Elephas maximus indicus: one gene and its partner. The protein of the gene in region 2 interacts with the protein of the main gene of each other region in a pairwise test. Links are inferred from orthologs where the notes say so. Each region holds a gene or a part of one and is shown on either strand. Other genes may lie near its edges.

Region 1 (7,681 bases), on a different chromosome or scaffold from region 2:
GAACTACAGTTTAAAAATGTATACAATTAAAAACAAAAGACTAAAATCCAAAACTTTCCCCAAACTCTATTTCTATTAAAAGAACAAACATCCTCAATGTCTTTACATAAACAACCCTACCATCTACAATTTCACGTCTTAATGTTTCCTTCAATTATTCAGTGCTTCTTGTTCTTTCTTTCAAGGACCGTAAAGTACTATAGCAACTATCCTGCCCAAATGCTGCATTCTGAAAAGCACATGGGTACCTGGTAAATTCTTAAAGAGCTCTCTACCAGTTGCTAAAATTAATCTCCAACTCCTTTAAAAAAAAAAAACAAACTTCAATTTCTCCACTTTAATCAAACCAGTGGAACGATTTTTAAGGGCTGTGGTGGTTCAGAGTTAGAATTCTTGCCTCCCATGAAGGATACCCAAGTTTACTTGCTGGCCAATGCACCTCATTATGCACAGCCACCACCCATCTGTTAGTGGAGGCCTGGGTGTTATCAGCCATGCAGGAGTCACCATGAGCTGGGTGCCGACTCACAGCAACTAACAACATCCTTAAAACCCTTGACTTGAAATATACCCTAGTAGCTCTTACTTACAATCTACTTACACACTGTCAGCATTTTCCTAGAGTTCTATTCTGTGATTTAATGTATCGTTTTAACAGCTTTTAAAATATTTTGTTACCCCCAATTAACACATAAGATGAGCAAAGAAAACTTCGATTATCTTTTACATGCAGTGGATGCTCACTAGAAACTGATGACCAACTACTCATTATAATTAGTTGATTTTCTTCAATTTAGATTTATACTTCATAAATACATTCAAAGTATTTTTACGTATTACTTTTAAGATTTTTTTTGAAGTTGTATTTAAAGATAACCCCCAATTACCAGTAAAAGTAATAAAAATTCATGACAAGAAACTGACCAAAAAATCACTATAGAGGGACAAGTTACTGTATTGCACTATAACATTAGCAACGTAATCATTTTTAGATAATGTTTGAAGGTCTTAGACCCTAATCTTGAATTGAAACTGTAACTATCTCCTTCAAAGAGAATATGATTTTAGGATTGGACAAAGTCTTAAAAGTCATCTATTTAAACTGATCCCATCAGAGGCTGCAGAGACTTAATGCCTTAATCTCTTTTAACTTTCTGTTAAATTACATCATAGCACTTGGAGTTTTCTGTTAGTTTAAAGGATTATTTATCTGAGTCTAGCAAAACAGGTGTCTGATATGCTAGCAATCCAGTTACAGTTAACAATAACCAGGAGGAAACAGTGTAACAGCTTTTACCAGCCAGCTTACTCAAAAAACCCAGATAAACTAACAAGTACTAAATTACGTAAAAAGGTCTAAAAGGTAGTAAGCCAGTAGCAGGGAGAAACAGCTCACTGGATAACAATTCATCCCCAAATCTTTACTGATTACTGATCTTCCTGAGGAGCTAAATCAATTTCCTTAAAGACCCTTGGGGAAACCCTTGTGGTGTAGTGGTGCGACGGCTGCTAACCAGAAGGATGGCAGTTCGAATCCACCAGGTGCTCCCTGGAAACTCTATGGGGTGGTTCTACTCTGTCGTATAGGGTCACTATGAGTCCGTATCAACTTGACGGCAGTGGGTTTGGTTTTGGGTTTAAACATCCTTACTGTTCAGATCCTCACCCTACCTTCCACCCAAAGAGGGGTAGGTGGGTCTTAACAGCATCTCACTTAAAAAACTGATAGCACGACTACTATCCAGTAAGCCTTTTTGCGGTTCATGTAAAATACTATGGGAGGTACTGCACTTACGTTATAGAAAATAAAGACTTCTACACATTCAGATACTGATATGCTTTCGACAATAACAGAAAGAAAACTAAATGTCACCTCTTTATCATCCTTAATCATGGCCTCTCCAGTGAAGCCTTCCTTAGCTCCACTTCCTCTCTTCCCCCTCAATAATTTACCCATCAACGTTCCTACAGCATTTTTTGTGTAAAGGACCTAGTTTTACGTTTTTAGTTACTTGTAGTCTCCATGACACTGCGCTAGGACCTAGGTCAAATATACAAAAAGCACTACACTTACTAACTTTAAATCTTCAACACCTGGCACGGCAATAAATATTTAACAGGCTACTTTAAGGAATGAATGGTTCGCTATTTAAACTGACAAGCTGGGGAGCGGTGGTGAGGGAAGGGAGAATGAGGTAGGAATTTGACATTAAAACGGGCTTCTAGTTCCCACCAACTTAGACCTTATCGCCATACACCAGTACGAAGTTAATTCTCTGGTACAATTTCTGGTTCTCGGTTTACTCTTAACAGTACAGTTAGTAACTGTCAATAACATACTGCAAAAATAATCCCGGCTGGAAGATATGTTCCAATCTGCACGAACATCTTGACACTGTCAAAGGAGCATTTTAAATCTAAAACGGGGAGGCTCTTGCCGTTTCTATCTACACTAGAAAGGCCTGAGAACAAGGCTTTATCGGCTCTCAAATACGCAAATACAAGATCCTTTGACTAAGCTCTTTCACTTCTCGACCCTCTCGCGATTTCTTCGATCCCCTCCCCCGCCCCGTCCCCCTTCTTACGCAGGTCTCTGATTCTTGCGTGTGGACCTCTCCAAACCTTACGACTCTAACTAAAGAAGGGAGTCATTTCTCAAGTCTATCTTTTGGTTCCATCCCCTCAGCCCTCCCCCTTCGGGCCACCTCAGGCGCTTCCTCCTTCATCCACCCCCTCCAGGCCTACCCCAGCCTCTAGTAGGCCTCAACCCTCATCCACTCCGCCATTATTATTTACATCGTCGTCTGGGGAGGCGGAACGCTTCACCCCATGCGGGTGGGACTCCCTGGCAGCACTCATCGTTGTGGAGATCCAGACGGGAAATACCGAACCCACTCGCCGTTCTCCTCAGCCGTAGCGACAGCACCCTGCAATCTACCACCGGCCCAAGCAGCAACTCTCCCGAACGCAGAGCTCCACCGGGCCTTCTCGGCCATAGACGTCACTGCCGCGGCCCCTCGCCACCCCGGAGCACTCTGGGAGTTATAGTTTTGTAGCTCACTCCACACCTGCCTGACAAAGGAGATGGATGAGTAACTAAAACTACAACTTCCAGGAAGCCTAGCGGCATAGGTCGCGCACTGCGGCGGGCGTGCCCACCGAACCTCCGCCTTCTTTGGCTGGCGACGAGAGCTTTCCCGCGGAATGGTATGGCGGTGGACGTTGGTTGAAAGCTTCGTCGGCGCAGAAAGAGATTTATATTGGGTTTATCACATTTCACCGTGAGACGCTGCGCCCTTGGCCAATGCATCCATCGTAATTAAGCACCTACGTTTAAATGTAATGTTATTTGAGGCTTATCGGATTCTTTAGAGTGCCATTCCCGCAGGACAAAAAACCTTAAAAAAAAAAAAAAATGGCTGCCACCGTTCCCTAGTCTTTGATGTCTGTTCCTAGCAGGGGATTTCTAAGTGGCCGGCGGCGCCTCTTTCTGGAAGGTTCTGACGAATATCCCACCCATTTCTCACTCTTAACCTAAGCCAAAGTCCACTTGAGGGAATTCTGTATCCTTTCTGAGGTGGTTCGACCTTGCTGCTGATGTGTAGGCATAGTATCTGGGCTTTCACCAAGTGAAGTTCATCTCTGCCAGAAACCCCTGTATCTCTTTTCATTTTTTTGTTCAGGTGAAATAAAATTAACCATTTTAAAAGCTACAATTTAGAGGCCTATAGTACTTTCCCAGTGTTGTGAAACATTATCTAGTTTCAAGACAATTTCATCACCCCAAAAGGAAACTCTGTACTTAACCATTAAGCAGCACGATTCCATTACCCACTTCCGCCAGACCGTGGTGACCACTTGTCTACTCAGAAAGCCCTATATCTTGCTGCAGTGTCAGGGCGTCTGAACCTGGCTGCCTTCAGCTATAGAAAATATTCAAAGCCCTATATCTTGCTGCAGTGTCAGGGCGTCTGAACCTGGCTGCCTTCAGCTATAGAAAATATTCTGGCAGGAGCCTTGTCCTCGGTTTTTCTGAAGCTTTCTGACTTTGATCAAAGATTGGATTTATTTATTTAAAAGCGAAAATCAGTAAATGGTATGACACCACAGATCTACTCTGATATTGGGAACTGAGAGTAGTCTGTGAAACAATGCTTAAGTACTAGCTTTTTTGAACTTGGTAATTTCTACAGTTTGACTGTCTGTCTGTGCAGAAATATTTCTTTCCTAGATTTCAGATGAGGCCGTGAACCTTTAATAGCACTGTGACCAGTGGATGACAGTTTTTTAATTTGTGTAGTCATGTATCCAGATTCTGCTCCTTTCTTTTGGAAACAGAGGATTAAGATAATAATAGCACTAGGATAATATTAAAAAAAAGATTTTGAATTGAGTTATATTTTACAAGTGTAGCCAAACAAAGGGAAACTTAATCTATTATTTCTGTGGTAAAAATTTGTAAATCAAGTCAGGAGTGAACTCATGTTGAGAGAAAACACTTTTGGAAATAGTTGCTTCCTCCTTGCTATGAATTAAAATATTTTGCCTACTTCATGATTCGACTGCGGTTCTGTAGATATCATTACAACGAAATGACACCTAAGTTACGTCCAGTGTGTCTGACAAATTGTAATATGTATAACTTAGAAGTCTTATCTATATAAGCAATAAACAAATGGGATGGCTGAAAGGTAATTTAGACTGCTAACAGAATTCTGAAATAAAAAGGACTGTCAACAGGGTTGGGTAGTTACTAAAAAGTTTGTCATAGTCATCTAGTGCTGCTGTAACAGAAATACCAGAAGTGGATGGCTTTAACAAAGAGAAATTAATTTTCTCACAGTCTAGTAGGCTACAAGTTCAAATTTAGGGTGCTGGCTCCAGAGGAAGGCTTTGTCTTTCTGTTGGCTCTGGAGGAAGGTCCTTGTCATCAGTCTTCCCTTGGTCTGGGAGCATTTCAGCGCAGGAGTCTCAAGCCTAAAGGATGTGCCCTGCTCCTGGTACTTTTTTCTTGGTGGTATGAGGTCTCCGTGTCTCTGCTTGCTTCTCTCTTTTATATCTCAAAAGAGGTTGGCTTAAGACATTATCTAATCTCATAGATCTCACCAATATAACTGCTGCTAATCCATCATATTACCTCATAGTAATAGGATTTACAACACAAATCACATCAGATGATAAAATGGTAGAAAATCATGCAATACTAAGAATCATGACCTAGCCAAGTTGACAGATATTTTAGGTGGACATGATTCAGTGCATGAGATAGTTCTAACTATACTAACTGATGAAAATCCAGAAAAGTTTAATGGGCTAGCAACATGTCTTTTATTTCTTCACCAGAATTGTTGGCACCTGGATGGCTAAACCTTCAAGCTATCATAGAACAAGATCACAAGCCAAAAAGTAACATAGGAAATAATAAAGACTGGATCACTTTATGAGATTTTGCCCAGTTTAATATACAGAAGCCTATAGGTAAGGATGAAATTATACAGTGTTATAGAATGGTAATGCATATGTGGCACAGAAACCCAATAATGCTGTTCTTCCTTGTATTATAAAAACAAAAAGATACTCTATTACAAGTGGAACTTTGAAATATTTCATCTCTACTTTTTTGTTTCTGTAGTTTCTAGCACAGTTCCTGACTCAAAATAGTCAATAAGTATTTTTGAATTAATTTACATAGTGTAACAGAGTAGCATCTCATATGAGGCCTAGAAACTAAGTGATGACTGTCGTTTTTTGGGTTGTAAAGACAAGGAATGGAGAGTCTGTCACTAATAGAACTTTTAAATACTTTCTTGAGGTTAGAGACCATGCTTTCCTAATTTTTTGTATACCCCATGTTTAGCACATAGTAAGCAGTCATAAATATTTGTTCAGTACATACATTAATATTTCAATCAAATCATGACTGAACATAAGCTATAGGATACTAATAACATAGTTAACAAACATAAAGAGGAAATAAAAAAGCCAAAGGATGTGCTCTGTACAGAAAATCTGCTGCTGTGTTACGTGAGACTAAATAAAAATTCCTAGACAATAATCAGAGCCCTGGTGGTGCAGTGGTTAAGAGCTCAGCTGCTAACCAAAATATTGGCAGTTTGAGTCTACCAGCTGCTCCTTGGAAACCCTATGGGGGAGTTCTACCCTGTCTTATAGGGTTGCTTTGAGTCGAAATCCACTCGACAGCAATGAATAGACCAAATAATCATAACTATCATTTACTGAATACCTACCATGCACCGTATACTTTGCTAGGTGCTTTTTATAATGATGTCAAAGCCTCACAACAGTTTGTAAGAGTGTTTAAAAATAAAAACAAAAAACAACCAAACCCATTGCTGTTGAGTTGATTCTGACTCATAGTGACCCTAAAGGACAGAGTACAGCTGCCGCATAGGGTTTTAGGTGAGTATATATATATATATATATAATAAAGCTCAAGAAAAGTTGAATAACTTGCTCGAAATCATATAGCTTGTGAGTGACTATGCTGAGATTTAATACTTTAATACTTAAGACTCTCCAGCTCCAAAGCTGTACATTCTCCATTGTGTCAATATAGCAACATTTATATAGGGAAACCCTGGTGGAGTAGTGGTTAAGTATTACAGCTGGCAACTAAAAGGTCAGGAGTTCAAATCCACCAGGTGCTCTTTGGAAACTATGGGGTAGTTCTACTCTGTCCTATAGGGTCGCTGTGAGTCAGAATTGGGTTTTTTTTTTTTTTTTTTTTTAAAGCATGTGTCAGGCAGCGTGCTAAATTTGAGATCAGAATGAATAATATATAGTCCTTCACCTCAAGGAATTTACAGCTTGGTGGGGAAGGAATGATTAAGTGGCATGAGTAAATTACAAATAAAATGCTATGGGAGCAGAGCGGGGGAAAGGGGCATGTATTCAGGGAATGGTTAATGTCCAGGGTGACTGAAACCTGTTATGCATGAAGTATTGTAGCATGAGACCAAATTGTAGGTTGATCAAAGCCAGGCTGTGAAAAGCCTTGAGTTTGAATCTCTCACTACACATGTTCAAGTTCAGTTAATCTCTATCAGTCCTCTAATGTTTCCACAGTTAAATCCACTTTACATATCATCTTTTGAAAAAGGAATGTAGAAACTTTCCTGTTCAAAAACTTCCTAGAACTTCCCATTTTATGCAGAATTAAGTCAATATAATTGAAGGTCTACATTCTGACCTTAATCATCAATTCCAGTCTTATTTTCTACTGCTACACTTTACTTATCTTGATTACTCTGCCATCACTAGTTACAACAAAATATGATAGATGCTAAAATAGAGGTATGAACAAAGGTACAAGTCTTGCTAGCTAATTTAGACTGTAAACTTATTTTGGGTAGGATCTAAGCTTTGCACTATGACTTGTATATGAACCATCTTTCGATAAATTTTTGTATTAATACACGAATGGATGAGATCAGAGAGGAGCAGATTTATGTGGTAAGATAATAAGTTTTAAAGTAAATGTTGAATTTAAAGTACTGGTGGGACACTAAGTGGAGCTGTATAGTAAGTAGTTAGAAATACAGCCTTCAAAGTTAGGAGAGAGCCATAAATTTGAAAATAATCCATCTAGAGATAGTGGTCAAGCTAGGACTGTAGTTGAGCTCACCCATCAAGCATGTAGAAGAGAGGTACTTGGGGGAAG
Region 2 (7,443 bases):
CGGTACTCACAGTGAAGGAGACACACTGGAATAAGTCGTTTTCTGCCGTGAGGTCAGTGAAGAGGCTCCTGTTTCCCCTGATAGACTCCAAGGAAGCACTCACAGTCACGGTCTCATTCAGGTGGCTCAGGAGGAGGCAGCCCTTCTGAGGGGTCTCAGTGTGGAGCAGGGAAGGGACCAGGACCATATACTGCCTGGGAAGGTGGCGGGGGGTGGGGGGAGGGGACAAGTTCAGTTAGAAGAGAGACATTCTTGTCAACAGCACTATTCTTCCATAAGGACCTGTGGTGGTACAGCGGTTAAGAGCTAGGCTGCTAACCAAAAGGTCAGCAGTTCGAACCCACCAGCTGCTCCTTGGAAAACCTCTGGGGCAGTTCTACCCTGTCCTAATAGACTCCACGGTGACAGGTTTGTTTTGTTTTTTTGGTTTTTCGTAACAATTACTGTTACCATCATTAGTTTTACATCAAGATGAAAATGAAATTAATCTCTTCTGTTAAGTGGCATGCATGAGAATGCTTTCCCCTTTCCATCAGCACTGCCATGCAGTGAACATTCCACTTGAGGTGGGCTTTAAAAATATTAAAAAATATTAAATGCCTCACTTTAAGGAACCCCAATATGTAAGCATCTGACTTCAAATTTTAAATGTCAGTTATGTTTAATCTGACTCTAAAAAGAAAGCTCACAGGTGTGTGGCTACTACAAAACCAATCAATCTACAGAACTTTCATTATCTATCTACCTATCTGTACAGAGAGATTTTGACATATATTGAGGTATATATATTTATATATACAGGAGGTAAAAGATATATATCTGACAACCTTGTGAAAATGATATGGCAAGTATTTCCTTTCATTTTACAGATAAGGAATCTGAGGTTCAAAGAGAGTGAGTCATTACTTCAGAGTTTAAAGTCTCAGTTGTGGTAAACAACTAACCAAGTCTTAGCGTATTACCTAACCATGAATGTTTGCATTTAAATATTTGCCTGTCAGCTCCTGGCTAGACAATAGCTTCCCCCAAAGAATGGTCCTCTAGTGACTGAAGTTTGGATCTTAGTAACTCACGAACAAGGCAGAAGCTTTCCCAATACCCTCATGGATAACATAAGATTGACCCTGTAGTTTTCAAATATTCTTGCTCTCAGAACTCCTAAAATAATTTTTTTGGCATTGTGCACTCCTTTCATATTTTCAAGGAAAGTTCCGTTTGGTAATCTCAAGTTTAAATAATAGCAAAAGATATTATTTCTTGCGACATTTAAATTAAAGCTTCTATTACTATTTTATAAGATCCTCATAAAATCTTAAATACCATAGTGATAGGATGCCCGATACAATCTATTTTAAAATATTTTAAGTTCTTTTTTTAATCTCAGGAACTTCTTCCCTTTTTTCCTCCTCGAACTTGAATTTCTACACCACTTACTGCACAGAACTTTATCCTAAGATTTTATGCTTCAAAATATTTTATGAGTCACTCTTACTTCTTTTTTAGCAAGTATATATGCATAACATACACACATACATATATACAATATTATATGTGGGTATATACATTCAACTTTAAGTCTTCTTCTAAATTTAATGTGACGATATCATTTTAGAAAACCCTGGTGGCATAGCGGTTAAGTGCTACAGCTGCTAACCAACAGGTCGGCAGTTCGAATCCTCCAGGCACTCCTTGGAAACTCTATCAGGCAGTCCTACTCTGCCCTATAGGGTCGCTATGAGTCAGAACCAACTCGACGGCAGTGGGTTTGGTTTTGGTATATCATTTTAAGCGTTAAAAATTTTCTTCAGAATTATTTTTAACTCAGTATACAATTGATCAAAACAAAATAAATATATTACAAATTCTGATTCATACTTATTAGATATAATAAAGATGTTCTTTTGAAGTACATCTTTAATGATAATAATAAGCTGGGTTTTTTTCCCAGTCAATTTATGTATCCAGAAATGAATATTTCTTATTGCAAGAATGCAACGAGATCTAACATTAATTCTGTTCTTAATTCTGACTTGTGTAGATGTAAGTACGGAGAAAAATTGCTCACGGAAATAAGTAAATAAATGAGAGGTAACACAGTTATATTGTCATCCACATCTTGCAACTTCCTCGGCCTTATATGCCGAGAATCACCCAGTGCCCCGTAAAGTTATTTTTAATCATCTATGAGATGATTTCTTTAAATACGTTGAAACAAAGAATTTGTCACCACCTGACCTGAAAAAGGATTTTCTCCCTTGTTATTAGAACCCCTTCACTTTCCCAACATCAACACCGGTATTTCTAATTGTTCTTTATTTGGCACGCTAGAGGTTTTTCTACCCCAGGGCAATGCTCCATAGTTTAAGATCTGATGGAGGGAGAGGCTTGTCTTTCATAAAGTGGAAGATGGCCAATTCGGAAAAGGGAAGTAAGAAAGGGTAAACAGCATAGCCTTAAGCAGATCAAAATGAATTTTATATATGCGAGGATCTGGAAATGGATTCCTTTAAAAGTATCAATTTCCGATGCATCTTAAAAAGGAATTTAGAGGAAATGTAGAGATTCAGAGGTCCAGAGAGTCGGAGGGAAAGTTATGAATAAGAGAAGAATTAATACATTGTTACAAAACCTCATGGTTGGAAGAGACATCAGAGAAAAGAAAGTGGCAGTTTCATAGAAAAGACGAATGATACAAAAGGCAAACATGAAATAAAGGAAAAGACAAAATTCAAACTGCGTGGAACTCACGGGTTTCCAGAGACTGTGGGCAGGGAGACCAGGAGGAGGAGAATAAGACTTGGATGAAGAAGCTTCTTCTTCGCCATGCTGCAGGGAGAAGGGACCTGAGGAGACCAGATTGTTTCGTACCCTACTCCCTGCACTCAGTCTGGTCCCCAAAGCACATCGGAGCAACTGGACTTTATGAGGCACTCTCTGTGTAAACAGGAAGTTCCACCCACACAAGGTCTCTAAACAAAGTTGAGGTTTCCAAACATTTTCTGAAAGGGTCACTGCTCTCAGTGATGGCCTAATTACAGTCAAGGTTAATTCCTGGCAGGCTAAATAGAATTCCTGGAGGGATAAAATCCACATTCCTGTTAGCACTCACTGTCTCTGAGTTTTACTGCAAAGCAGCTAATCAGGGCCTTTCCAAACCTTCCTTCCCCACCTCCTCCCAGTGCCTTTTATGGCTCTATTCACATCTCTTGCTTGCATAGTTGACAATGGAGGCTGCAGCTTGAGCAACAATGGCCAGCTCAAAGTGACATCTCACTACAAGTCACTGTGCCTGCAAGTTCTCCATTAGCTATGCCTAACTTAAATGTTGAGGGTGCTTCAGAATTCAGGAATCCTCTGCAGAAATGATAATGCTTCTGGGTTGAAGTAACACCTTATTCAACTAATAGACTTTTACTGTAGAGCTATTACTGGATTGCGGATGAGGAGCCATGCCCTAGATGAATGGGAATAGAAACTAGTTTGTATATGAAGTAACTAAAAAAAAAAAAAAAAAAAAAAAAGTGAAACGATAAAAGTAGCAAGATCTCAAAAAATGAGTTTTGTCCTGTTGGGCCTAACAAAGATTCCAATTGCCTTTGCCATCGACTATACAAACACATTTCCTTACTACCTTCTGAATCTTCTACTCCTCTCCAATCTTTGAATTATACAGACTATTTCATTTATTCATTCATCCATTCACTCATTCATCTATTCAGTTGTTTTATAAGCATTTATTGAGCCTGGTAGGACTAGGCAATATGCAAAATTCTGGAGATAGGATGGTCAATTAACAGATCTGCACTAAAATTTCTTACATCCTTGTGGGGGTGAAAACAGACAACTAAGCAATAAAAATACAGTAGCCAAACATCATCTGAGAAGTTCAGGGCACTCTGGGAGCATTAAACAAAAAAAAAAAACCTATTGCTATCAAGTTGATTCCGACTCATAGTGACCCCATAGGACAGAGTAGAACTGCTCCATAGGGTTTCCAAGGAGCAACTGGTATATTTGAATTGCCGACCTTTTGGTTCGCAGCCAAGCTTTTAACCACTGCACCACCAGGGCTCCTAGGCGCACATAATCCAGATTTGGGGCCTTGGTGTACCAGAGAATAAAACGTTGCCTGGTTGTGCTTCATCTTCATGATTGCCAGCGTGTTTGAGTGCCACTGTTGTGGCTATTATGCCAATCCGCCTCTCTGAGACTCTCCCTTACCCTCGATAGCACCCTACTTCACCAAACATGATGTTCTCCTCCAGCGATTGATCCTTCCTGGTGATGGATCCAAAAAGAGTGGGTTGGACAACGTTCTGTTGAGATCCATAGAGTTTTCACTGGTTAATTTTTGGAAGTAGCTCACCAGACCTTTCTTCCTAGTCTGTCTTACCCTGGGAGCTTTGCTGAAACCTGTCCACCATGGGTGACTCTGCTGGTTTTTGAAAAACTGGTGACATAGCTTCTAGCTTCACAGTCACCACATGTACATCACCACAGTAGGACAAACTGACAGACAGGTGGTGGATTCTAAGTGTAGAAAATGACGTAGGCAGAGACCTAGAACTTGAGAACAATCATGGCACATTCAGCGAACTGAGAAGAAGCTGGTATGGAGGAAATGCCTGTCTACTTAGAAAAGTGGTGGAGCTGGAGAGACAAGCTGGCTGCAAATCAGAAATGGCCTAGTCAATAATATGAGGGTGTTTGGGGAGTAGTCAGTGAAATGGATTCTCGGATTGGTTTCCTGGATAGATCACTCTTACTGAAATGTGGAAGACTGACCGAAGGAGGCATTTGAGAGTCAACTGCAATAATATAGGTGAGGGCTGATAGTATTTTGAATTAGGGTATTGGAACTAAGGGTTGGAAAGAAGTTGACACATATACATAATATTTAGGAGCAAAATTATAGTATGTGGTGAATATATGAATATAAAAAGTAAAGGAGAAGGTGCCTTCCAATTTTCCTGGCTGGTCACTGAGTGAATCATGTTCCTTTAACTGATAGAGTGAAACAGAGGGTTGGTGGGAACAGAAGGAGGACAGAAAGGCTGAGGATTGGGAAGATAAAGAGTATAGTTTTAGAAAGTGCTTGTGGAATATTCTACAGCTTAGTACAATGCGGTCTAATAAAAATGTAATGTGAACCACCTATGTAATTTAAATTTTTCTAGAAGCTACATTAAAAAAATAGCAAAAAACAGAAGAAATTAATTTTAATAATGTATTTTGATTAACCCAATATGTTCAAAACATTATGAACATTATCAATATAAAATCATTAAAAAGATGTTTTACATTCTTTTTTTTATACCAAGTCTTCAAAATTTAGTATGTTTTTTATACTAACAACACATATCAATTTAGACTAGCCACATTTCAAGTGTTCAGTAGTCCCGTGTGGCTGCCGTTGCTGGCTGCTGTTACTGTTAGCTGTTCTTGAGGCCACTCCCGACTCCGTCCTATAGGGTCGCTATGAGTTGGAATCGACTCGAGGGCACTGGTTTTTTTGTGTTGAGGCCACCCCCGACTCATGGCAACCTCATGTGTTACAAAGTAGTACTGCTTCTCAGGGTTTTCTTAGCTATAATCTTTATGGAAGCAGTTTGCCAGGCCTTTCTTCAATGGAGCCACCCAGTGGGTTCAAATCACCAATCTTGAGGTTAGCAGCAGATCACAAACTGAGTGGCTACCCATTTGGCATAGTAAACTTAGAGCAATGTTTTCCAATTATGGGTCACAGTCTATTAGTAAGTTATGATTTTATTTTAGTGAGTCATGACCAGGATTTAAAAAATGAAATAGAAAATAATAAAATAGAAAACAGTGTATCAAGCCAAATTAGTGAAAATGTTGAATTTGGAAACATTGTTTCCTATATATATATGACAGAGACTGTTGGCCATCCCCCACTATCCATCCTACCTTTAATAAAATAAGTCCTGAGTTTTTGCTGAACACAAACTGCTTAGCTAAAGATTTTATTTCCTTGCCTCCTCCCTTGGTCCCTTGAAGCTGGATGTGTGGCCATATGACTTCTGATGATTGGATGTAAATGGAAGTTATGTATGTAACTTTTAGGTCATGGTTTAAAAAGGCAGAGTTATGTTCTGTGCATTCCTTTTCTTCCTTATCCCCGGCTGAAATATGGAGATAATGACTGTAGTTGGAGCTTCTATCGTAGATTATAAGATGGAAACTGTGTGCCAAGGAAAGCAGAGCAACAAGCAAGACACAGCCTGAGTTTCTGAATCTTCAAAAGTCCACTTCAGACTGGATTTTCACATGAGAGAGAAATGCTTAATATGGGTAGGTACAGGTGTGTACATGAGCGAGAATGGATAGAAGTATCTATAAACCAAAGCATCAAATCCACTGCTGCTGAGTCGTTTCAAAAATTATGATCTGCATCCTAGTGAAGTCAGTAACATCTGGGGTCTTAAAAGCTTGTGAGTGCCCATCTAAGACACGACTGTGGGTCTCTACTCACCAGGAGCAAAACAATAAGAAGGAAACCAAAAGCTCAGAGAAGAAACAAGTCTACACGAGCCACAATCTAATCTACCCTGAGACCAGAAGAACTAGATGGTGCCCGGCTACCACCATTGACAGTTCTGACTGGGGTCACAATAATTGGTCCTGGATAGAATTGGAGAAAAATATGGAGCAGAACTCAAATTCTTATTAACAACAACCAAAAAAAAAAAAAAAAGTCAGACAAACTGGAACAGTAGAGAATAGAGGAACCCCCGAGACTATTGGCCTGGGACATTCTTTAAACCTAGAACTGAGCCTTTCGCTTGAGATCATCTTTTAGCAAAACAGCAGAGTGGCACATGAAATAAAGGATATTACTTGTTAGATCAGTGCCCTACTTAAAAGCCACCAGTATGAGACCAAAAGGTCAGCAATTATACAAAAGCAAAGATGAGACAATAAGGGGGCAGGGAAACTGAAATACTGGAAAGGGAACAAACAGAAGATCATTAAAGAGAATGTTGACACTTTGTGATAAATGTAACTAACATCACTGAACAATATGTGTGGAAATTGTCAAAAAGGAACCTAACTTGCTGTGTAAACTTTCACCAAAACTCAAGAAAATATTATTAAAAAAAAAAGATTAATTACTTAAAGTAGAAGAGACAAGGTTAATAGCACTTATCTGGTGCCTCACCATACGTTACAAAGATGATCTGCAAGGACTGTTATGGCCAAATCCCTGGCTATCCATGTCAAATGTCACTGTGTAATCACATAATCGATTGGCTGATAATTTTTCTGCTGGATTTAGAGTCAAGGAGAGCTTTGGGAGCCAGCTGTTTCGGTGTCTGTGTAGTGCAGAAGCCTGACTGCAGCTGGTTAAGGAATGAAGACAACAGGAGGAAGCAAAGCCAGTTTCCCAGAGTCTGTCTGAAGTGAAGGAGAATGATATGGCAG

The links.
Region 1: the proteins of A2M (region 2) and C7H11orf58 interact in a two-hybrid assay, tested with the Homo sapiens proteins (2 studies listed by BioGRID and IntAct). The link is inferred for Elephas maximus indicus from reciprocal best matches to the Homo sapiens genes A2M and C11orf58.

The regions. Positions count from the first base shown.
Region 1 is NC_064825.1:72,135,816-72,143,496, reverse strand, and holds the start of C7H11orf58 (small acidic protein), read right to left. Parts: upstream 3,017-7,681; 5' UTR 2,860-3,016; coding exon 2,797-2,859; intron 1-2,796.
Region 2 is NC_064822.1:66,266,886-66,274,328, forward strand, and holds the start of A2M (alpha-2-macroglobulin), read right to left. Parts: upstream 3,022-7,443; 5' UTR 2,826-3,021; coding exon 2,749-2,825; intron 195-2,748; coding exon 11-194; intron 1-10. UniProt on the Homo sapiens protein: Is able to inhibit all four classes of proteinases by a unique 'trapping' mechanism. This protein has a peptide stretch, called the 'bait region' which contains specific cleavage sites for different proteinases.